Linked DNA regions of Arabidopsis thaliana. The main gene of each other region encodes a partner of the protein of the gene in region 2 in a complex. Each region holds a gene or a part of one and is shown on either strand. Other genes may lie near its edges. A codon is read from its position in the direction of its gene.

Region 1 (13,136 bases), about 18 Mb from region 2:
TTGACTCTGTATCCAACGTTGTTGTGGTTGGTGACATTCATGGTCAGCTTCATGACCTTCTTTTCCTATTGAAAGATACTGGCTTTCCTTGTCAAAACCGGTGTTATGTTTTCAACGGAGACTATGTGGATCGCGGTGCTTGGGGACTTGAAACCTTCCTTGTTCTCTTGTCCTGGAAGGTAAACTCTTTACTAAGCTGTTTTACTATTGGCTCAAGTCTTAGTATTCTTAAAGCACATATCTTTTTGGTTGTTTAGGTTTTGATGCCGGACAGAGTCTACCTACTCCGTGGTAATCATGAGTCAAAGTATTGTACATCTATGTATGGTTTCGAGAAGGAAGTGCTTACAAAATACGGAGACAAGGGAAAACATGTGTACCGGAAATGTTTGGGTTGCTTTGAAGGTCTTCCTTTGGCTTCCATAATTTCTGGACGTGTTTATACAGCACATGGAGGGCTTTTCCGCAGCCCAGTCTTGCCTAAGCGAACAACAAGGGGGAAAAAGAACCGTCGGGTAGTTCTTCTGGAACCTGAGCCGAGCTCAATGAAACTCGGTACCTTAGATGAGTTGATGCAAGCTCGAAGATCAGTTCTTGATCCTCCTTGGGAAGGTTCAAACTTGATACCAGGAGACGTTTTATGGTCTGATCCTTCAATGACTCCGGGCCTTTCACCAAATGAACAGAGAGGCATTGGTCTTCTTTGGGGTCCCGATTGTACAGAGGATTTTTTGAAGAAATATGAACTGAAGGTGACACCAAAGTAGATATTGATGCTTGTTTGCTTCCCAAATACTGATATGGATGATTGGATCAAATGTTTTACACTTATTGGTGCAGTTGATCATCAGATCACATGAAGGTCCAGATGCTAGAGAGAAGAGAACTGGTCTTGGTGGAATGGACAATGGATATACAATAGACCACAATGTCGAATCCGGAAAGCTTATCACTATTTTCAGTGCACCTGACTATCCGCAATTCCAAGTATGTATTTTTACGCCTTTGGTATTTGCATTTTCTAAAGATATGCGTTAACAATCATTTTTGTGTGTGGTGTAGGCAACAGAAGAGAGGTACAAAAACAAAGGAGCATATATTATTTTGCAGGCGCCTGATTTCTCGGATCCTCAATTTCATAGTTTCGAAGCTGTTAAACCGCGACCAAAGGTAACTAACTTACGATGCTGATAATGAACCAACGAGTTGTTTTACTTCTTTGATACACATACATAGCGACATCGGTTTTTAAATGTGCAGGCGCATCCATATTATGACTTTGAAAATGTCATTGATTCTGATGATGAGATGGATAAGTCAGCAATGGACACCAATAACGAACAACCAAATAGCTGACCGAAGCTGAAAAGGAGTATCTTGAATTGATGTTTTTTACAGTTGTTGTGATTGCTCATTATTTGCAAACATAAAATGGAATCAAATGTAAAGAAAAGAGATGAAGAAAATCATTTGTAGAATTCACATTTAAGTTATGTATGGAAGATGAAGAAATAAGAACCATCTTAAATCTCATGTAGTTCTTAGTTTCTTGGTTCCTACACGTCTTATTTAAACCTAAATCTTGTAAGATTTTGCTCTGTTTTGTCAGGTTAGCCTAAATCTTGAGAGGTCAAACTTGCAGTAACTTTCATTGTATAGAATTGCTTTTAACTGAATGATAAATCGAGTAGTAGATTAGTCCAATGGAAGTTTGTGGATCAAGTTATGTGTCTGTCGGCATTATAGTTTTCCTTTGAAATATTGACACATTACTAGAATCTTATCCAACAAAAAATTGTGTGGTTATGAAAATCCTAAGTAACGAGACAGCTTATTAAATGCCGAATTTGGTAGCAATTTGTTCAGATGAATGTATGTCTTCTTGTAAAAGACAGTATGAAGTGGAGGTTGATGCTAACTATCTTATGGTTCCTTATTGCACTTTGAAGCATTTATTGCAATTGTTTTCGGTTTTTTCTCTTGAGTGGGCTAAACTAATAATGGTCTGTTCTTTCTCTAAAGAGAGAAGAATTCGACAGGAGCGTGAAGCATCTTCATTCGCAAATATAACACATTAAAGCTACCTCTAGCATCATCTGTGTGATTCTCTCCAAGGTCATTCGTTGTCTGTCACGGGGCATCTCAAGTAATAAAGCTTAAAGTTAACTGTCTTTTCAGCCAAATAGTTTCATCATCTAAATATTCACATGATCTTCCATATTTCATCACCGATTATGGTTACAACATTTTTGCAAACCCTAAAATTTGTGTTATCGCCAAACTTGACCCTTATACCGGAACCCATGTGGGTGGGTGTTGATTTTTACTGTTTTGTAATTTGTTCATCGACAATCATTGACATGTACTCACCGCAATGTTTTTTCTTTCCTAGTTTCATGTGCATATATGTCTCTAAACAGTAATTGTTTAGCACTTCATGTCAAGCTTAAATTATTATAGGTGTCTTATCTTGTCTCTCTAGTATTTTCTGTTGAAGTCATGTGCATTAAATTGTATATAGTACTTCCAATGGCTTTCATATAATTTCCATTTTTCCACAAATTGTTCGTAATGATGTTTATTTAACAAGATTATAAAAGATAATGCAACAAATTTGTGTGATGAATGATGAGATGAACCCATTTGAAAGAGGTCGCAACAAATGTCAACATTAGAGACCATCTTGATCTAGAGTTTTGTCTCGTTGACTTTAATGCCAAAATTGGACAATACATATAATGCATGTATCAGGCAATGCAAAAATATCTTCATTCATTTAATTTTCTTACTATAATAGATGTCACAACTTCCCTCACTGACAAGCATATAATGTTGGTTTTATCTCAATGTAAACAACCTTTTAGTTTCACATAAATGTTAGGTCGAGCGAGGTGATATATTCGTTCCAGATCGGATGAAACAAGTAATTCATCGATGTTACCTTTATCCATATGTATATGTAAGATTATGGGTTTTAGGTAATCTAGTAAGTACTACTAAGTAGTATCCGTATGTAATTTTTTATTTATTTTTATCCGTTATGTATAATTTCTTTGGCCGTTTTCGCAAAATCTATATTTGGATGTTTTAGATCGTGAATTGATATATCTTAATTTGAATATTTAGGTATTCATATATTTTGAATCTATAGTTGACCTGTTGACCATGTATTTTGATTTGAATATCTCGCTCGATCGATAGAAGATTTTTTTTTGTTTTTGTTTTGTTGATAGTAGAATCTTCAAGTTGTAATTTAACAAAAAAAAAAAAAATCAAGTTGTAAGTAGACCGTATATCTGTATATTTCCATATGTAGAACCATGCATTTTGAATAATTGAATAAAATAACATGTAGCAAGACGTATCTTCATATGATAATCAGAATCATAATAAAAAGACAAACTGTACACCATATTGTAATCCAGGTTTAATTTGACCTCTTTGAAAAACTAAAATAGCTGAACTGAATATTTATAACTAAAAAGACAAATTGGATATGTCACTTTGGACTATGAAACTCAGAATTTTTTTTGACTAACGTGTATACTTTCACACGTGTGCATGACTAAAAACATATGATTAGGCTCTTACGATCTATGCGCCTTACACCTGTGAATGATGAACACATAAAACACAAGTTACGATCTAGAATGTCATGTGTACTGGCTTAAATCTACTTATGTGAAGAGGTAAATGAAATGGTCAAGAAACAAAAAAAAAAAGAAATGGTGAAATTATGAAAGTATAAAACTTTACCGGTGAGGTCCGTATTTGGATTTATTAAGTGAAGAGGGACCCTTTTGCAATTAAAGCCTGTACGACAAAAAAGAGATTTACTGTACGGTTAAAACAAAAAATAAAAAAACCAGCAAAAGTAAAAAAGTCAAAAAGCAGATATATGACATGTGCAAATCTCCATCGCGCCTTTATTACCATCTACCGCTTTCTCTCTCTGTCTTTCCTTGTTCAACCCTCGAGAGATTACGGATAGTGAAAGAGAAGCTACAAAATTTCCCAATTTATCAAAAAATAGAAATTTCTTACTTTTTTCAAAATTCATTTCTCCCCAAAAAAAATATCTTGTGAAAACTGCAACTGTGATCCATGGCGGAGGATATGGCTGCCGACGAAGTTACGGCTCCTCCTCGTAAGGTTCTTATCATCTCCGCTGGTGCTAGCCACTCCGTCGCTCTTCTCTGTACGTCTCTCTTCTTCTTCGCTGTTTTTTTTCCTTTTCTATTACGGACTCAAATAATCACCGGAATTGTGAAATCCGCTGCTTTAGTAGGCTGTGCTCTTCGCGAATTCTCTTGATCTGGCCTTTAATCGAGTTTCCCTTACTTTCGTCGTCTACTAATGAGTAGTTTTATGTTTTGATTTTGTAGCTGGTGACATTGTTTGTTCTTGGGGTCGAGGAGAGGATGGACAGTTAGGTCATGGCGATGCAGAGGATCGACCTTCTCCGACTCAGCTTAGCGCTTTAGATGGCCACCAAATTGTTTCCGTTACCTGTGGTGCTGATCACACTGTTGCTTATTCACAATCAGGCATGGAAGTCTACAGTTGGGGATGGTTTGTTTCTCATCATTATCTTCTTCTTTGCTGCTGAATCAATTGCTCTTCAGTCTGTTTGATATATTCGGGATGAGATGATGACCACTAGTTCCTCTCTAGATTTTTGTGTAGAAAACAGTAACTAATTATACACTCATTTGCACATATTTTAAGCCTCGTGTTCTCTAACCTTTATGTGTACTTTGCAGGGGTGATTTTGGGAGATTAGGCCATGGTAACTCAAGCGACTTGTTTACTCCGCTACCAATCAAAGCATTGCACGGTATTCGGATCAAGCAGATTGCTTGTGGGGATAGTCATTGTTTGGCTGTCACTATGGAAGGAGAGGTCCAGAGGTATTTTCTCTTTGTTATTGTTCTTCTCCTTATGTGCAATCATTTACAGTTTACATCTCAGCTCAATTAGATGAATTTCATCGGAATTTGATAATGTCGATTGCGTCCTGTGTCATTTCTATATATCTTGGTTATTGTGTACATTGCCTTTTAAACGTTTTGTCTGTCTTGTCTTGTTTTCCAACATATCTCTTTGACTTCTGTTTATACAGTTGGGGCCGCAACCAGAATGGTCAACTTGGTCTGGGGGACACCGAAGATTCTCTAGTGCCTCAGAAGATTCAAGCCTTTGAGGTTTGTATCACTAAATATTCTTCTAACATCTTTTTTCGTTGTAGTTTCCTCAACTTGCCAAATACTATGCTTCAGAATTGGGTCAATGTTGGGTCTATTTCTGCAACTTGATCTTCTTAAACATATGACTGTTACTAGTTAAGGGTCCACATCTGGTGAAGATGTCTTCAGAATCATAATTTAAGTTACATAATTTTAGGAGTGGTAGATACTAAATTGGATGTCTATGTGTTATACTATCTGCAAAACACAGATAGAAGGTAGGATCTTATTGATAATTTATCGGACTAGGTAAACTAGAAGATTAAGTGATTAGAGACCCTGAGTTTATGTTGTTAGTTTCGCTGATCTCCATTGTTACATCAACACTTTAAACTTGTAATGGGTGCAGGGAATACGAATCAAAATGGTTGCTGCTGGTGCAGAACACACTGCTGCAGTTACAGAAGATGGTGACCTCTATGGATGGGGCTGGGGAAGATACGGAAATTTGGGATTAGGTGACCGGACTGACCGCTTAGTTCCTGAAAGAGTTACCTCTACTGGTGTAAGCTAGAAGACTCTTGTTCTATAATTTTTGTTTAAGCACCTGCTACTTGTTTAAACTTGCATTTGAAGTTCAGTATACGTGAAAGAAATCGTGAATAGCTCAATATGCACTGCACTATTCTGGATTAGCTGTCTATATTGATGGAGTCACACGTATATGCAGTCTAATTTCAGTTGGTGGGTGTCAGGGAAGTGACCATAAAACTTTTAGAATGATCAAAGTTTGGTATCCTGAATCTGCACAGTTCATGAAATGAAATTTAGTTCATATAACATTGATATCACGCAACCTCACCTTTTTACCAACTTCTATTTCTGCATTTTAGTCCCTCAATTTTTTCCTTAATTCTCTTTTCATTTCGACTCACTTGACTCTCGTTTTCCTGGTTGTAACTACAATTTTAGGGTGAGAAAATGTCAATGGTTGCTTGTGGATGGCGGCACACAATATCAGTTTCCTACTCTGGAGCATTGTATACTTATGGATGGAGCAAATATGGACAGCTAGGACATGGAGACTTGGAGGATCACCTTATTCCTCACAAACTGGAAGCACTGAGCAACAGTTTTATCTCCCAGGTTTCACTTAGGCCTTATAAATCTGTCTTGAAATACAAATTTGTACATCTGAAATATCCAACATATGGGATAGCAATAATATGTTTTTCGAAAACTTTCTGACAACTATTACCTACTGAAGAAGACTGGCTTCATTGTATGTACTTCTGTTGGTTTTCTTCTTCTGTTCGACATCTTTTGGACTTACTGTTCGTTTCTTTTCCAGATTTCGGGAGGTTGGAGACATACAATGGCATTGACTTCAGATGGAAAACTATATGGATGGGGTTGGAATAAGGTCTAGAATGTCTTGCTTTTTTTTTTTTTTTTTCTGGCCTATATTTCGTAGAAATGTATAGAACACCTATTTTCATCTACACATTCACTGATATTTGCATTTAGTTGCTTTATGCTGTTAAGGAGTGATATGCATTCACTTAGATGTTATTTTAAGAAAACAACAATGCATATATTGGGTAACTTTAGTAACTCATCTTGAATAAAACAAACTTCTAATTGTCTCTCTTTTAGCCTGCAGTTTGGACAAGTAGGAGTCGGCAATAATTTAGATCAGTGTTCTCCTGTGCAAGTGCGATTTCCCGATGATCAGGCATGTTATCCCTAAAAAAGTTTAACGAGAAAGCTCGTCCCAATGTTTTACCGGCTATATAATCATATTAATAAGTTCATGTCTCAATTCGCTGTTTTCTTTTCCAATGCACACATATTGTGGAATTTCACAGAAAGTAGTTCAAGTCTCATGTGGATGGAGACATACCTTGGCTGTCACTGAAAGAAATAACGTGTTTGCTTGGGGTAGAGGTACAAATGGACAGCTCGGCATTGGAGAGTCGGTTGACAGGTAAAAGTGTGATCATCTAATCGCTCATGAATCAATGTTTTCCACTTAACATATCTTGGTGTTACGAACAGAATATGAAAATTGGCCAGTAAGATCGTTGTTTCCACCAAAATCATTGCTTTTCAATCCCACTCACTACCTATCTTGATAATGTGAAATGGATATTTGGTTTGGTGTTTATAGGAACTTTCCCAAGATTATAGAGGCACTCAGCGTCGATGGAGCAAGTGGACAACATATAGAATCTTCTAATATCGATCCATCTTCAGGTATTTAAACAATACCACTAGTTAAAACGATTTCTGTAAACGACTCAACAAGTGATTAAATGATTCAACTTTTGCATTGCTTTGTTACCAGGGAAAAGCTGGGTGTCGCCTGCAGAGAGATATGCAGTTGTTCCTGATGAAACGGTAAGCCTTAATTTTGTTAATTCTACTAAACTTTATATCCAATACGTAAACTACAATGAAAGCAAATGGCACAATTATATCGGCTTAGAACCAGATTTTACTGATTAATCATTGCTGCACAATTATACCTTGCTCTGTCAAGATCGTGGATTGTTTTCAAGGATGAAATCTATGTGTGTGATTTTGAATTTGGTTGTGTGTTAGGGCCTAACGGATGGTTCAAGCAAAGGTAATGGAGGTGATATCAGTGTTCCACAAACTGATGTCAAGCGTGTACGAATTTGAGCCTGAGTCAATTCCGTTTTTTTTTTACTTCCGGTTCTTCCGTTGGATTCGAAGGTTTTTCAGTGATCTCTTTTGGGTTGAGGTTTGTACTAAGAGTACGTCTGTCTAGTTTGGGATTGTACTTTTTGTTGTTGTTGTTAGTTTGTAACTTGTGATGCTTCCCTCCCCCTAGCTCTCTTATTACATGGGCGTTGTAAACTGTGTGTACTACTACTACTAGTCTCTAGGGTATGTACTTTTTTTTTCCTCACCATAATAATACCTTCTGGTTCTATATCTTTCATTTCTTAAAAAGTTTTCTGTTTTTTCCTTCAACCATTATACAACTTATGTTTTAAGAGAATTTTCTTTTTGTCTTATTTTTTTACCGCCTATGTTTGAATTCAAATATGATATGATTGATAGTGACCCGCTGAGTTTTAGAGTATTTGAATTTTGGAAAAAAAAACAATTTTATCAATCAAGATCAAAACTTAAGAAGAACAGTGATCACAGATTAACAAGTTGAACTTCTCCTTTTTTATCAAAGTGTGAAGCGCAGATGAGAACGAGAGTAGTATGGGTATTTTAGTTTACAACTTTTGGGTAGGTTAGCCTTTAGGCCCAACACACAATGCATGTTTCGTATTTCTATATATTCTAGTCTCAATACGAAGAGTCTAGAATACGAAGAATTTCTAATGGACTAAGTGATGGATATGTCAAAAAGAAAAAAAATTGATCCTTCATCATCCGCCAACCTAGTTATGCTGCCTAATATATTTGGCGTTTAGTGAAAATTTTCTATTGGGTAAAACTTATGTGGGTGATTCTCTTTAAAGCAAAACCATCCATATTGCTCTTTTAGTGTTTCTCTTTATGTGTCGGGTTTCTTTCCCTTAAATTATTCCAAATCGATGTCACTTAGATTCGATTCCATGTTATTACCTTTTTCAGTTCCAAGTCGCCATCTTTCAAACTTTCTAATGATTCTTGATGTTTCATCCACGAGTCTTTCATTCCCACCACTTTCTTGCTTTTTTAATTTCGGGTAAATATTACTCCATATATCATTTCGCCAATCTTCTTATATTCACATACACTTATTCATACATTACGATTATCTCATGGCATTACTCCGGCAATGGACTATACCTTATGTTCAAGTTGTTTTTTCTTAAAAAACCTTTTTTCATAAATCTATGTTAATCTATAATTCATTTTCTACATAAATCTATTAGTATGTTTATTGTCTTTAAATCCATATCTGGTTAACAAACTTTCAATAAACACCACATCAATTATAGATTGAGAACACATTATGTATATAAATTACGCAAGATAAAAATTATACGAAACGAAGAACTTTTACATTATTCACATTTCCCCAAATGAAATATATTAAAATTTATATCTTTTGTTTTTTTCTCCACCACCTTCTTCTTCTTCATCATCATCATGGTTTGTTTAGTAAGTAGTCTTGAACGGCTTGTAAACCTTAAGGTCTAGCATTACTCCGGCGATGGAGCCAACTCCGGCGACCAACGTGATCATCAAACAACCACAGCTCAACATCTGCAGACAAACCCACTTCATACTCCATCTCTCAACCTTCCTCTGTCTTATATACATCTCCACCGGAAAGTAAACCGTCAAAGGCCAAAACCCTAACGCACCTAAAATCCCTACGACGTCGTTGAAAAACGGCATAAGCATGGATATCACAGTGGTCAAAACCACAAACCCGCTTCGGTAAACTGCTCTGAAAACGTTGACTTTGTACGGTGACCTAAAACCAGGGATTCGGATTTCGTATTCCTTGGTCACCAAGTCACTGTCGGGAAACCTAGCGGCAGCTTGTTTCTCAATAAAGGCGAAGATGGGCTGAGCAAAGACTTGATAAGCTCCTACAAGGTGGATAACTATGGCAGCGTTAGCCACGTCAAGGAGCCAAAACGGATTGTAGAAACCAAAACCGGTTAAGAGGTTTCCCGGTGCTTTATCTCCGAAGGCGGCATAGCCCATACAACCACATAGCATGTAAAATGTCGTTGTAACAGCGATGCTGATTCTTGTGGCGATCTTCATCGTTTTTGATTCTGCTGGTGGAGATCTTACAGTGTCCTAATGAAAACCCACATGCACCCCAAAAAAAGGTCAGAGATTTTGTAAACTCGTATAGAAAACAGATTCCATATTGGTTAGGTTCTTTATCTTACCTGAATTTCAATAAGAACAACAGAGTATGAATAAGCAAAGGCAATGTCTCCAAGTGCTTGAAAGGTTCTCCATATTTTTTGGGTCTGAGTCACTGCGCCGATGCTAATTCCGGTGAGACTTCCCTTGACAACTCCATTTGCTGAAACACATTAGAGTTAGTTAAACCCTCTGCTTTGTTGATTACTGCGAAGAGTCTTACAAAGTAATTTTCTTTTACCCGCGACTTGAATGATTCCGAGAGCTAAACCGATTGCAGAGTATGTGAAGGACATGATAGCAGCGACAATGGAGAGCCACCAAATCTGGTCAAAATCTTTGATCTGAGAGAGCAAGATCTCGGTCACACCAAACATGATCATGTATGGATTGCTCGACATGTGACACGGGTTTTTCCCTCCGCTCTCGTGGAAACAGTTGGACCTCTTGATCGCCCTGAAACTCGATCCGATACAACCAAATTTTTAAGGCCTTTTATCTCATTATATGGTGTTCCAAAATAAACTAGTTTGTGAGAAAGAAAGACTCACATCATACTTATAGATGCTGCGATTGTGTACCCGACCGTGATACCAAACAGATTCAAATACTGAATCAGCCCACAAATCTTGAACCTAAAGCCACCTGCCAGAAACAGAGCATTTCAGAACACAAAACAGAGTAAAACAGAACAAAACAGAGAGAAACAACCCAAAAACAGAGCAATCAAAGCATATGCGGAGGAAAACAGAGAGACGATAGTTGATACCTAGGATTGATCGGACAGCGTCCATGTAAGTATAGTTTCTCTTCCCAGAGACAGGATCTCCGGTTCTGTAGCAGTCGCTAAGAAGCGTGGAAGAGTAGTAAGTGACAAAAGAGAACAACAACATCACTGTAGGACCTGCGATCCAACCGAGTTGACCTATAGCCCACGCAAGCGATAGAACACCAGATCCAATCACGGCGGTTATGATATGCGCACTCGCGGTCCAAACCGTCCCTGAAACAATCGCAGTTTTTCTCTTTGGATCATTCATTTCAAAGGTGTAAACTGTCAAGTAACCAACAAGGGGATTTAAATTTTTTACCTGAACGTTTAAGCCGGCCATCGTCATCAAAACATTTGAAAGCTGGCCGTGGAACATCCATCTGTTTTTAGTGAGAAACCAAAGTTATGAGGATTCACTAGTTTCAAAAAACGGTTAAAACTAACGGATAATGGCGGTTATAGTTTTCTATAAACCAAACAAAAAAAAAACTTGAAAGAGGGAGAGATCAGTTATAGTACCTTCTCTTATTGAGCTCTAAGAGATTAGACAAAGCTATGCAGAAAATTAAACCCCTCAAAAGAATGCAATGCAGAAAAAAAGAAAGAAATGCAAAAGAGAAATGAGGAGATGGGTGGTGAGAGAGCAGTTGCTGCTGCATTTTGAGTGTTTTGGGTCATCATCTTTTATAAGCCATCAAAAGTGGAAGAATCTTTCTCTAATTTCTTTGATAAATAATTATTATATATATACAGGTCAGATATGTAAAAAGTTCGGCTACATAGGCCATACACATTTATATCATTGTTTAAAAGAATAATGTGGGTAGTAGAGTATCGCCCAAATTTATATATGAGCCGATTTAAAAAAAACAAACACTTTGTAGTATTCTTCTCCCATCTCTCATTCTTTGTGTGTGAGTGATTTTACGTGTACTCTTCTTCTCGAGTGTTTTATTCTTTTAGCATCCATTAATCCCATGGCTCTATAGATCAAACATTACGGTTCTTGATTGACAACCTGAATCAAGATTTCGAATACTTAAGTCCTCTACAAAGTTAATACTTAATAGTGTATAAATGATTTCATTATCCGAATTCGAAGATCCTATATAAACATCCACAGATCTTAAACATCTGTATTTTATGTCTTTCAAATGATTATGGAGTTTAAATAATATGAACTAGCTAGAAACAAATACTGATGTAAACATCAAAAAGCGAATAAATTTGGCTCTTTGTCTAAGCGTTCAATATATAATTTTTGAGAGGTTTTTGCATGGTTTTGTTTTCTCTCTATTCTTTAGTGAAAGATACGTAAAATGAAAGAGAACCAAATTCTTGTTCTACGCCTCCATACCTTTTGGATTCGATCTAATCACTCATGTATCTTAATTAACAAAATTCGTTCCTACTTCAAAATGCTACCGAGTCCTAGGCTGTATTAAGAATGAATGAATATTTATATACTAAATTACGAAGGCATATGGAAAATTTAGGTTTTTGTATTTAAGTTATATATATAGAAAGCATATATTCTGCATCAACGCATTATAATTTGATATGTTCGTTGATTTCAAATTAGTATGTTGGAAATTTCTTCGAACATGCATACTATGTATAGTATTTGATACGGTTCATAAAGGGAGGGACATATACTTTATAGTAAACTGAATAATAATAAAAAGAATGAATGGTTTGATAATCAGAGATGCAAATAATCTATATTTCGGTTAAAACAAAATTTGTTTGATAGTCGTCGCAGAATTCCGGATCGAAGTCCAAATTAATCTCTAAGGCTTGAAATTTTTAGATACACTTAGATATTTCAAAGTGTTAACAGTGAAAAACAATGATTGAAATCGCATTGAAAATTTGAAATGATTCGAATTCGATCTCCTAAGTCCTAACCCCATAATGATTTATTTTTTAATCATTGGACTACCATGAGTTGGTAAACTTGGTATAGAAGATTTTTTTTAAATATATAAAACTGAAATTTATAAAGACCAGTTGCATACTATTTTTATTTCAGTAAGAATAAGAGAAAAGAAAAAGAGAAGTTAATTGTCAATTGTAGATTTCAGATATGTTTGGTTTATCTTTTAGGTGAGTCAAAATATTCTTGGTTTAAAGGAACAAAATGTAAAGCAAAAATGCATGATGAGAAGAGAGAATCGAATTTGTCATGCAAGTGCTATTATCTACCATTATAATTTCTAAAGAGTATCTTTGAACACATTCAAAATCTCGTTTTCAATTCCAAGATTCTTAATTTTGAGTGTGTTTTTCTTACATTCTAAAATGTGTAATATTTTAGT
Region 2 (9,847 bases):
TTGCTTTAAATGATAATAAATATGAGAGAAATAGCTGAACAGAAATCTAGTCTTACCTAATAGGATTATGTAAAATCTAGTCTTACCTAATAGGATCATGTAGGCACTTTCAAATTTACAATTTTTAATGTGATGTTTGTATAGAACCCCTCTTCTTAGCCCAGGATTCTCTATATGTGATTACAGTTATGTTCATGGATGTCCAATGCTGGAGAGCATGAGTAGTTTTGAAACTGAAGAAAAAGCAGAGAGAGCTGCTGCAGCTCTAGGGAGAATCTTGGTGTTAGATCTAGTAATTAGGAATGAAGACAGATTACCGTGTCGTCAGCTGAGATGGCGTGGCAACCCGGCAAATCTGTTACTGACAGACAGAATTGTGTCTTCTGCAAAGCATCATGAATGTTCATTTGATGAAGCTTTTGATTCCGCCATCAAACGGTACCATCCAAAGGACTATAGATCCATTCAAAGGGAAAGAAGAGCTTCTTCCGTAGATAGCAGATCCAGGTTGAGTATCAGTGATCAAATGTTGGTCTCACAGGCTTCTGATTTTTCTGATATAACGGAATCACCTAGATCATATGATACTGGTTTAATGAGTCCAATGTCTGATAGATCAGTAGCTGCCGATTTTCACCTCGTTGCCATAGACTCGGGTGTTCCACGGCGGCCTCCTGCTGGAAAACGGGCAAGCGACCAAGAAATTTATCCAAGATTAGTTGAGTTACTCCTCAATAGTAGCCAATATTCTTCGAATTTGTTACATGAAATAACAGAAGGAAGTTTAGGATATCCACAGGCAGAAGATGGTGAAGAAACATCTAATGTTCGATCTGTAGTAACACCAGTTGTACGCGAGTTTCGAAATGGTTTCCGAGCTGGTCTCAGGGATTTGCAAGAGTTTCACATCTTCCTTGTCACCCTTCATCAGAAATTAGATGTGTTGCTTCGGGCATTTTTTAGTATGATGGACAAAACAATGTGTGCAGATTTTGACAGAGAAGACTTTGCTGTTCCTGAGTCACCTTCACATACTCATGGGCATGAGGTGAATCATTATCCATCTCCCTCAAAAGATCGGGTGCCTAGTGATAACAGCTCTGATCACAGTGAGTCAGATATGCAAAAATCAGTTCCTAGGACACCAAATTCAGAAAACAAAGAAGACGGGTCTTCGCCTAAGTCACGTGAAAGTTGGCACGGAAGATCCGGTAAAGGTGGAGAATCTCTTAGCAGTCAGCGTTTGGCAGCAAAGCTCCGTGACTTCCATAAGTTTGCAAAGGTTTGTCGCTTCGAGCTTTGATCACTATGTTCTAATTTGTAAAGTAGGTTCAGATTTTTTATAAAAAAAAAAGTTTGTCTTCTTGGATGGAAGTTCTCAGCCATTTTCTCTTTCTTCACTCTCAATATTTTCATGGTGCGTCCAGGTTGATGCTGAGTCTAATAAAGAACTAGACCAGTGGAATGAAACACTGCGGAATGAAGTGATGAAACTTTGCCAAGAGAACGGTTTCAACACTGGTTTTTTTGAGGGCAGTGATAATAACAGTTGCACAGATGCTTATGAGCTAAAGGTATCATGAAGTTTTATTATTTCCTTTTATCCTGAATATGATCTTCATTATATAATATAGTTTTTGGCAACTGAACTCAAACATTGTCTCTCTTGTTTGCATTCTCCTTGATAACAGGTTAGACTTGAGCATATTCTTGAGAGGATATCATTGATTAGCAAAGCTGCTAATACAGAGAAACCATCAATGATACAAGAAAATCTTTTTATCGGGGGAGGATTGGCTGCAAGGTCGATTTACACTCTTCAGCATTTAGGTATAACTCATGTTCTATGTTTGTGCGCTAATGAAATCGGGCAATCGGATACTCAATACCCGGATCTCTTCGAGTACCAAAACTTCTCAGTAAGTGAACCTGTCTTATATGTCTCTTAAAAGGAATTGGTAAAAAAAAATGCATCTATAAAGATGATCGTTTTCTTCTTGTGTCTTCCCTTTGACCAGATAACCGATGATGAAGACTCAAATATCGAGAGCATCTTTCAAGAAGCTCTCGATTTCATCAAGCATGGCGAAGAAACTGGTGGCAAGATTTTAGTTCATTGCTTCGAAGGTCGGAGTAGAAGCGCAACAGTAGTGCTTGCTTACCTAATGCTCCAAAAGTAAGTTGTTGGGGACAAATAAAATTTGTTGGAAATTTTCAATACTTGTTCTCATTTGTTTACTGGTGGGAACAATAAATAGGAAGCTCACACTTTTAGAAGCATGGAGCAAACTGAGGAAAGTTCATAGACGAGCTCAACCGAATGATGGATTTGCGCGGATCTTAATAAACCTCGACAAGAAATGTCACGGGAAAGTATCAATGGAGTGGAGACAGAGGAAACCGACAATGAAAGTGTGTCCGGTTTGTGGAAAGAACGCAGGTCTAAGCAGCAGTTCTTTGAAGCTTCATCTCCAGAAATCTCACAGGAAACTGTCTTCGGGAAGTGTTGACAGTGCAATGAACATGGAGATTCAAAAGGCTTTGGAGGCTCTTAAACTCAGCACTGGCCGTGGCTCAAGTGCTAGTTCCAATTCTTTCCAATCTCATCCTGGTTAGAGAGTCCGGTTTGGTTTTATCTATGGTTTGTCCCGGTTAAAGTCTCTCTAATCGTACATCTCTGAACAAAAACATTGATCTGTTTTGTTTTGTTTTTTACTGTAACGATCTTTGTACTTGTATACGCAAGTAAATAAAAAGCCGAAAAGCTGAATAGAAGTCACTGGGAAACGTCATAATAAGCTAATGTAACATTTGTAACTCTTTTTCCCTTGTGCTTTGTGTTAAGAAAGTAAGATTTGGCCCAAAAATGTCATAAAACTAAAAAATTGATTGCGTAATCAAACAAAAGTTCCCTTTCATTTTCGATATAATAAACTAAAAAAATTTGACATTCTTTCCGGCGTGCACATTGATGAAAGTGAACTCTTGTTAACTTTCATTTGTGACTTGTATGGAGTACAAGACGTGCGTGATGTGCCAGACGACGGAGAAAGATGAAGGAATCATGAGGTGGTATATGTATGAAGAATGGCTATGGAAAGCAGACAAAGTAAAAATTGATTGAAATATTGGGGAACATAAATGCAAATCTAATTTGATGTTAAATCTATGTGGGAAATCTGATAACGGTGGATCGTCTTTGTGGACCAACTTGGTGTTAGCTTTTTTTCCAACTACTTATTAATTTATCCATTCCTTTGTTAATGACTAGTCTCTCCTTTAAGTCATCCTTTAAGTTGCTTTTGTATCTCCACTTTATTCTCTGCCTTCTTTTTCATGGGAAAGTTGCACATCAGAAGCACCAATGAACTTGTAATGAACTCCTTCAAAAAAATTTCTGATATTATATCTTAAGCGATGTCCTCTCTCCTACATTTTTGTTTGTTTATTGTTTACCAATTTCTTGAATAACAAGTTAATTTGTTTCTTCAAAAAGTGTAGAAGCCCACTTTTGTAACGGACGTTAAGATTGCGCTTTAGTTGGTGAAATTTTATATGTTAGGTAGTTCACGTATTTTGTTGTTTGGAGAAATATTAATAAATGGCATTAAATGGAAATCGAATCCATTCTTTGAAGCAGTGTGGGTCCAAACATGGAGCACAAGTGTTATAAAAGACTTGAGGCTGAGAAGTAACGAAGAGACATGAAAAAGAGGACAATGACCAAAGGTGGTACATAACACACGTATGACTCGTCCTTACTTTGCTGTCCACAAAATTCTCTCATAAAACTAAAACCTACCACCGATTTTTTCTCCTCTCTCTCTCTCTCTCAAAATCTGCCCCGGCTCTTCTTTATCGGACGCGTAGTATCAATATCGATATTTTAACCCCGTGATCTATGCTTATCTTTTCTTGGTTATATGGTTATAGAGAACCGTTATCTGTTTTTGATACCTGTAAATAATATAATAGAAATGCTTCTTAGACCCGACATTCGTAAATAATATAATATCGAGAATCAAATAAGTTACATGATTCGGATTTTCATTAGGAATTGGACAACTATCGAGAATGGTTATGGCATATTTATACATGTTGACCACTTATTTGTGAGTGGTTATTATCCCGGATATAAAATGATCATCTAAGTGAAAATTTTTGAATCCGTCCAAACATTTCTACTATTGATCCGAATGACAAAATCAAGATAAACTAGTACTCCCTCTATTCATAATAGTTTGATGTTTTGGATTTTGACGCTTATTAAGAACTCAATTATTGTTTAATCATTTTAACATTTTTCTTAGTGTTATAAGACAATAAAAATAAAGAAAAATGCTAGAAAATCAATTTTTATGAAACAAAAAACAAAAGCTAGAGCATCAAACTTTTAGGAACATATGGAGTATTTGGTATCAAACGATTTCGTCTATACGATATGGCAATTTTAAGCGTATATGTCTCTTTCTAGCTTTGAAAGTTGATTTGATATAGAAGAAAATTGACTATTCTGTAAAATAAAAAGATTGTATAAGTGCATTGAAGCCATGAAGGCTATAATTTATTTATATTTTTTTTGGTGAATCAAGCAATTGAAAGTAACCAGATAGGAAAATGCTACGTCTTTTTCAATCACATCGTCGAAAGTTGTACATTTTCTAACAACAACAAAGTAATTCAAATCAAATCCTAAATGCCTACTACGATTGTAAAACTAAACAACAACAAAGTAAGTTAAAATTCAAACGTTGATAAGAAACTATTTACTTTGTTAGTTTTGGTGTAGGAAAAAGTAAGTGGTACAAATAGACGTTTTGTTTTTGGTTTTTAATGTTTCGGTGTTACCATTACGATCATCTCATCATTGTAATTTACGAACAACCTCAATCTAATGGTCAGTGAAGATTTATTGTGATAGTAGTCGAAATGTTACTATCTTTTTTATTCAACATTTAGTTAACGTCCTTTCGCCTACTACAAGTCAATCAATTTAATACAAGAATTTGCCATGTTTGGCTATATAAGTAGCCACGACAACAAACTTCACACTTTCTTGCCTGAAATAGAATTCACATGGGACCTTTCTCTGACATTTGCATAGGAATAGATAAACTCATAGAATAAAAATTCATACGTGGATTAGTAATAAACCCAATTATTTACTGAGGGAAAAACAAAAAGCCATATTAAAATGAATATTATATTCTAATGTATTAAACTATTAATAAAAAAAATTCTTTTGAATGGGATTGGTTTTCGATTGGTCCGAAACCCCAGAAGCAACAGTCATTACTCTGTTTTCATATGAACACTCTTCATCCTCACAAGCAGCAACAAGAACAAGCACAACAACAAGAAGAAGCTAGATACGAATGGGATCTTTCTCTCTCCACCGTCGTATCTTCCTCCTCCTCCTCCGCCTCCGACGTTATCGGAGCTATTGAATTCGATCCCACTGATAACATCGTCGCTACCGCCGGGATTTCAAGAAAGATTCGTTTTTACGGCCTCCCTTCTCTTTTACGTAACAACGCTGTCTCCGGTACCGGAGTTTCCTTCGTCGATCAAGCCACCGCCTGCGAATATTACATCTGTACTCCGGCGAAACTTAGTAGTCTCCGGTGGAGACCCGGGTCGGGCGGTCGGGTTATTGGGTCGGGAGATTACGACGGCGTAGTGATGGAGTACGATCTTGAGAAGAGGACGCCGGTATTCGAAAGGGACGAGCACGGTGGTCGTCGTGTATGGAGCGTAGATTACACTCGTCACGGCGGCGCTTCGACGGTGGGCGCGTCGGGATCGGATGACGGGACTATGCAAGTATGGGATCCGAGGTGTCCGCCGGAAGAATCTGTCGGTGTTGTACGACCGGCGGGGATTTGCCGGAGTGCTGTTTGTTGCGTCGAGTTCGATCCTTCCGGTGGACCAGCCGTGGCCGTCGGATGCGCTGATCGGAAAGGGTACGTTTACGATATAAGGAAACTCGTTGACCCGGCGTTGACTTTACAAGGTCATACGAAAACGGTGTCGTATGTGAGGTTCCTCGACGGTGGGACGGTGGTGACGGCAGGTACGGACGGTTGTTTGAAGCTGTGGAGCGTGGAGGATGGGCGCGTGATTCGCACGTACGAAGGGCATGTGAATAATCGGAACTTCGTGGGGTTATCTGTGTGGAGAAACGGCGCGTTGTTTGGTTGTGGATCGGAAAACAACAGGGTGTTTGTGTACGATAGGAGATGGGGGAAGCCGGTTTGGGTAGATGGGTTTGAACCAGTTGGTATGAATTCTGGTTCGGATAAGCGGTTCGTGAGTAGCGTCTGTTGGAGGCAATCAGGTGTGGACCAGTGTACCCTAGTGGCTGGAGGATCTGATGGAGTATTACAGGTTTACGTGGGCAAAAGAAAACCATAGTGTTCTTCTTAATTTATCATTACTATATTTTATGAATTATGATGATGATGATGATGATGATGATGCTTCTTAATTTCTTTTCTTTTTTTCAAATTTAATTTCCTATTTGAGATGATTTTTGATTGAGTTGTGAGAGCATACGATCTGTTTGTTTTTTTTTTTAATTTATAAAGGATTTTTTACTTGTTCAATATCTTTGTTGTTACTCAGAAATTTGAGTTTTTAATCCATAAATTTTCATTACCTATTTATTATACGATATTTGGGAATGACTTTCTTCAAGTGTTTGATCACAAAAGTAGCTAGTAGCTACAAGTTTGTTGGTAGATATAAAATAAATTTTATTGCATTCGTCTACCTTATCTAGTGTATACATCACGAGATTAGTTATTTTTGCTTTTTTGGGGCTTCACAATAGAATTATTAAAAATAAAACTATAATGGTTGATGAAATGAGAAAAGCCTAATCAATCTAGCTATGTGGTAAGCTTGTTTTTTTAATCACATCTTATTTAATTCTATGTTTTTTTAGTAAGAAAAAAGGCCATGTTCTGGTTTAATCGTCCTGAAACTCAAAGAGTAAAGTCGTTTTAAACAACAGAATTTGTGCACCACATTTCTTAAAGAATCATATTTTTGTGGGTGCTTCGTATCGTGCCACAATGATGGTTTTAATCACCTTTGAAAATCTTAATATAGAAGACCTAAAATTCATTACGCAACGGAAAGAGTTATAACAATTTAGATTTGTCGCCCCACATAAAAGAAAGTTTTGTGCAAAGTAGTCCTTCACTCCTAAATGCCTACTTCATGCATTTGCTGATCTCAAACAATAATTAAGTGCATGAGAGAATATACTAATCTACACTTACTAGATAGTAGATACGTGCATATAAAATAATAGGTTCGTGGCCAATAACTAAAGCTAATTCAAGAATTTAGAGACGCCATATACTAATTTACACGTCCTGTCACCATCCACTAAATATCAATGAACTCAAGACCAACACAAAACCACTTGCTAAAGATAGGCAAACGTGTAACGCCTTTCTTCGTATAATTGTATTTACAAGTTCACTGTGTATTCTTTTTTGGCAGCGTTCAATATTTATATTCAATCGCAGAACAAAAGAAAAAATAAACAACACAAAACTGGCAGTGAGTGAGAGCAATTCAAGACAGGCAAACAAATGTGATTTAGTACAAAAATAGACGGTATATAGAACACAACACAACCGGATAAGACTTACAAGATCATAAAGAAGTATACATTTCTAATACTAGGAAAGAATCCATATGTAACCGCTTCTGGAGAGTAGTCTGAGGCTCAGATTCGTCGGTGGTCAGGAGCTTCGATCATCGATAAGTTATCGTCTGATTTACCATTTCTATGTCTTGTTGTCTTCATCAAGATCGCTACATTTTAGGTACATTAGGAAATCTATGGTGGTCTTTCGTTATGATCAAAATAACTCTTTCATAGATCAAAGAGGCTGCCACCCAACTTCTACTTTTCTTTAATATAGATTTTTGAATGCAATGTGTTCTTATGGTTTAGTAGGGTATGCCCAAAAAAACACAAATAACCATGATAGTAACAGATAGAAGAATTCATTTGACAAAAATAAACAAGTCCACTTCTTTTTTCTTAAACTACAAAAACTTCTGTGTAGCCAAGTGATTTTGAGAGATTTGCAAATTTCAAGAGTTGAATATAGTAGAGTTGTTCAACGAAAGTGCGTAGATTTGTATTTCGTCTGTGATAATCAAAGTCTCCAACAAAAGGGATCTTTAAACAAAACATTAAAACATTCCGAAATCAAAATCAAACCAAAATCTCCCATGACTTTCAAAACTCTTACACTCCAGTGAAGGCCTTTTTACCAAAGGCAGATGCACCCGCTGGAATCACCTTCAGCACATTGAACCTAACCGTCTTCGACAACGGCCTGCAACATAAATCACAAACAATCAGAAATCGTTTTCCGGCACTACCTGAATCATAAAAAGGTATAAGACAACCTAATACTCACCTGCATTGGCCAATGATGACATGGTCACCTTCCTTGACACGGAAACACGGTGAGACATGGGCAGGGATGTTGGAATGTCTCTTCTCATATCTAATGAAAAATTTAAGATAATCGTTTATCAGCATTGATGTTATATCTTTGCGCAGCTCTATCAAGAACATAGGTTCATCACAATGTACTTACCGTTGATACTTCTTCACAAAGTGAAGGTAATTCCTACGAACAATGATGGTTCTCTGCATCTTGGCACTGTGGCAAGTACCAGCTAAGATACGTCCTCTGATAGAAACGGTTCCAGTGAATGGACATTTACTGTCAATGTAAGCTCCTGTTCCACACAATAAACATATCAAAGATTACAAAACATCTCTCAAATTTTCGGTTTTGCTTCAAACCTAATCAAAGCAAACAGCACTCAGTGATATTCAGCTAAACACCAACAACAAAATCTCTAATTTTCAACAGAAAAACTTTGATTATACTGTTAACCACCTAATACACAACACTAAATCAACTATTCAGATCAAAGTTTGAAGCTTTCGCTTAAATGATAATCAGAAGTATGAGGAAAAACAACAAACCATCAATGGCTTCACGAGGAGTCTTGAAACCCAAACCAATGTTCTTCCAGAAACGGTTTCCACCTTTACCAGGTCTCTTTCCTTTCCCAGATATCTTCGAGCTGAAACACACAAAAAAAAAACATAAATCATATGAATCGATTTGTAAATGGAAGTAATAAGATTCTCAGATTTGTTCAGATGAATTTACCTAAGGAAGACCTTGGGTTGCTTAAGAAAAGCTTTCTCAGTCTACAAAAGAAAGAAGAGAATGAGAATCGTAAAGAGTATCTATCAGAATGTAGAAATGAACACAAAGGAATGAAAATGAACCTGCTCAGCCATGGCTACTGATTGCTGCTCTCCACGGAGCTCTGAGGCAAAAAGGATGAAGAAAATGCGAGAGGCAAAAGAAAGCGAATGAGAGTAATCTCAAGTAGTGAAGCTCCGGAAGAAACCCTAGTTTCGAAGATCTCTCTCTTTATTTGGGTTTGGGCCTTTGTTTTATGGGCCGTGATTTACATTTTATTAACCGGCTACTGAAATGTTGGGCCCTTTTGGGCCAACTTTGATCCACGGATAAATTGTTCGCTATACTATTGTGACTCGTTCGTAGCTAAAACATTGATTTGATTTTATCTTATGCTACATTGATTTGGTTGAGCATAACATTTTATGATGCAAACATTTCAAATTATGGGACCTTGTTCTCGTTTTACATATCGGACCACTTACGTACTACTACATTTATGATAGGGGCCGGGGGATGCGATCATAAATTACGACATAAAGAACAAATATGTATTATTGTACTTACCAATTCATAAAGCTAAGAGAAAG

Evidence for each region.
Region 1: the proteins of RUP2 (region 2) and UVR8 are in contact, whole or in part, in a crystal structure (PDB 8GQE), measured with the Arabidopsis thaliana proteins. Residues at the interface, in NP_568435.2 of Arabidopsis thaliana: Ser37 (codon at 5,416), Ser38 (codon at 5,419), Ala39 (codon at 5,422), Ser40 (codon at 5,425), Val42 (codon at 5,431), Gly44 (codon at 5,437), Gly59 (codon at 5,482), Ile60 (codon at 5,485), Ser61 (codon at 5,488), Arg62 (codon at 5,491), Lys63 (codon at 5,494), Tyr95 (codon at 5,590), Cys97 (codon at 5,596), Pro99 (codon at 5,602), Lys101 (codon at 5,608), Leu102 (codon at 5,611), Ser103 (codon at 5,614), Tyr121 (codon at 5,668), Asp122 (codon at 5,671), Thr134 (codon at 5,707), Glu138 (codon at 5,719), Asp140 (codon at 5,725), Glu141 (codon at 5,728), Gly143 (codon at 5,734), Gly144 (codon at 5,737), Arg145 (codon at 5,740), Arg146 (codon at 5,743), Trp148 (codon at 5,749), Asp167 (codon at 5,806), Cys193 (codon at 5,884); in NP_201191.1 of Arabidopsis thaliana: Ser25 (codon at 4,177), Arg41 (codon at 4,412), Glu43 (codon at 4,418), Asp44 (codon at 4,421), Asp77 (codon at 4,520), Trp94 (codon at 4,571), Asp96 (codon at 4,768), Phe97 (codon at 4,771), Asn104 (codon at 4,792), Ser105 (codon at 4,795), Ser106 (codon at 4,798), Asp107 (codon at 4,801), Arg146 (codon at 5,130), Tyr201 (codon at 5,686), Trp233 (codon at 6,189), Tyr253 (codon at 6,249), Arg286 (codon at 6,553), Trp302 (codon at 6,601), Lys304 (codon at 6,607), Phe305 (codon at 6,850), Trp337 (codon at 7,079), Arg338 (codon at 7,082), Arg354 (codon at 7,130), Thr356 (codon at 7,136), Trp400 (codon at 7,542), Ser402 (codon at 7,548), Pro403 (codon at 7,551), Ala404 (codon at 7,554), Glu405 (codon at 7,557), Arg406 (codon at 7,560).

What each region holds. Positions count from the first base shown.
Region 1 is NC_003076.8:25,549,556-25,562,691, reverse strand, and holds UVR8 (Regulator of chromosome condensation (RCC1) family protein), read left to right. Parts: upstream 1-3,192; 5' UTR 3,193-3,276; intron 3,277-3,707; 5' UTR 3,708-4,104; coding exon 4,105-4,198; intron 4,199-4,385; coding exon 4,386-4,572; intron 4,573-4,763; coding exon 4,764-4,910; intron 4,911-5,122; coding exon 5,123-5,204; intron 5,205-5,595; coding exon 5,596-5,751; intron 5,752-6,158; coding exon 6,159-6,332; intron 6,333-6,537; coding exon 6,538-6,609; intron 6,610-6,849; coding exon 6,850-6,921; intron 6,922-7,054; coding exon 7,055-7,173; intron 7,174-7,356; coding exon 7,357-7,442; intron 7,443-7,533; coding exon 7,534-7,586; intron 7,587-7,790; coding exon 7,791-7,871; 3' UTR 7,872-8,276; downstream 8,277-13,136. Other genes in the region: PP7 (serine/threonine phosphatase 7), read left to right, coding at 1-179, 258-752, 841-987, 1,063-1,170, 1,261-1,356; AAP4 (amino acid permease 4), read right to left, coding at 9,318-9,974, 10,070-10,209, 10,288-10,502, 10,598-10,691, 10,816-11,049, 11,138-11,198. UniProt on the Arabidopsis thaliana protein: UV-B specific signaling component that acts as a UV-B photoreceptor and plays a key role in establishing UV-protective responses in plants.
Region 2 is NC_003076.8:7,999,979-8,009,825, forward strand, and holds RUP2 (Transducin/WD40 repeat-like superfamily protein), read left to right. Parts: upstream 1-5,118; 5' UTR 5,119-5,307; coding exon 5,308-6,414; 3' UTR 6,415-6,652; downstream 6,653-9,847. Other genes in the region: PHS1 (dual specificity protein phosphatase family protein), read left to right, coding at 187-1,282, 1,428-1,574, 1,692-1,919, 2,019-2,176, 2,259-2,616; RPS11-BETA (ribosomal protein S11-beta), read right to left, coding at 8,273-8,363, 8,448-8,537, 8,631-8,775, 9,029-9,129, 9,219-9,259, 9,341-9,352. UniProt on the Arabidopsis thaliana protein: Functions in association with RUP1 as repressor of UV-B-induced photomorphogenesis mediated by UVR8 and HY5.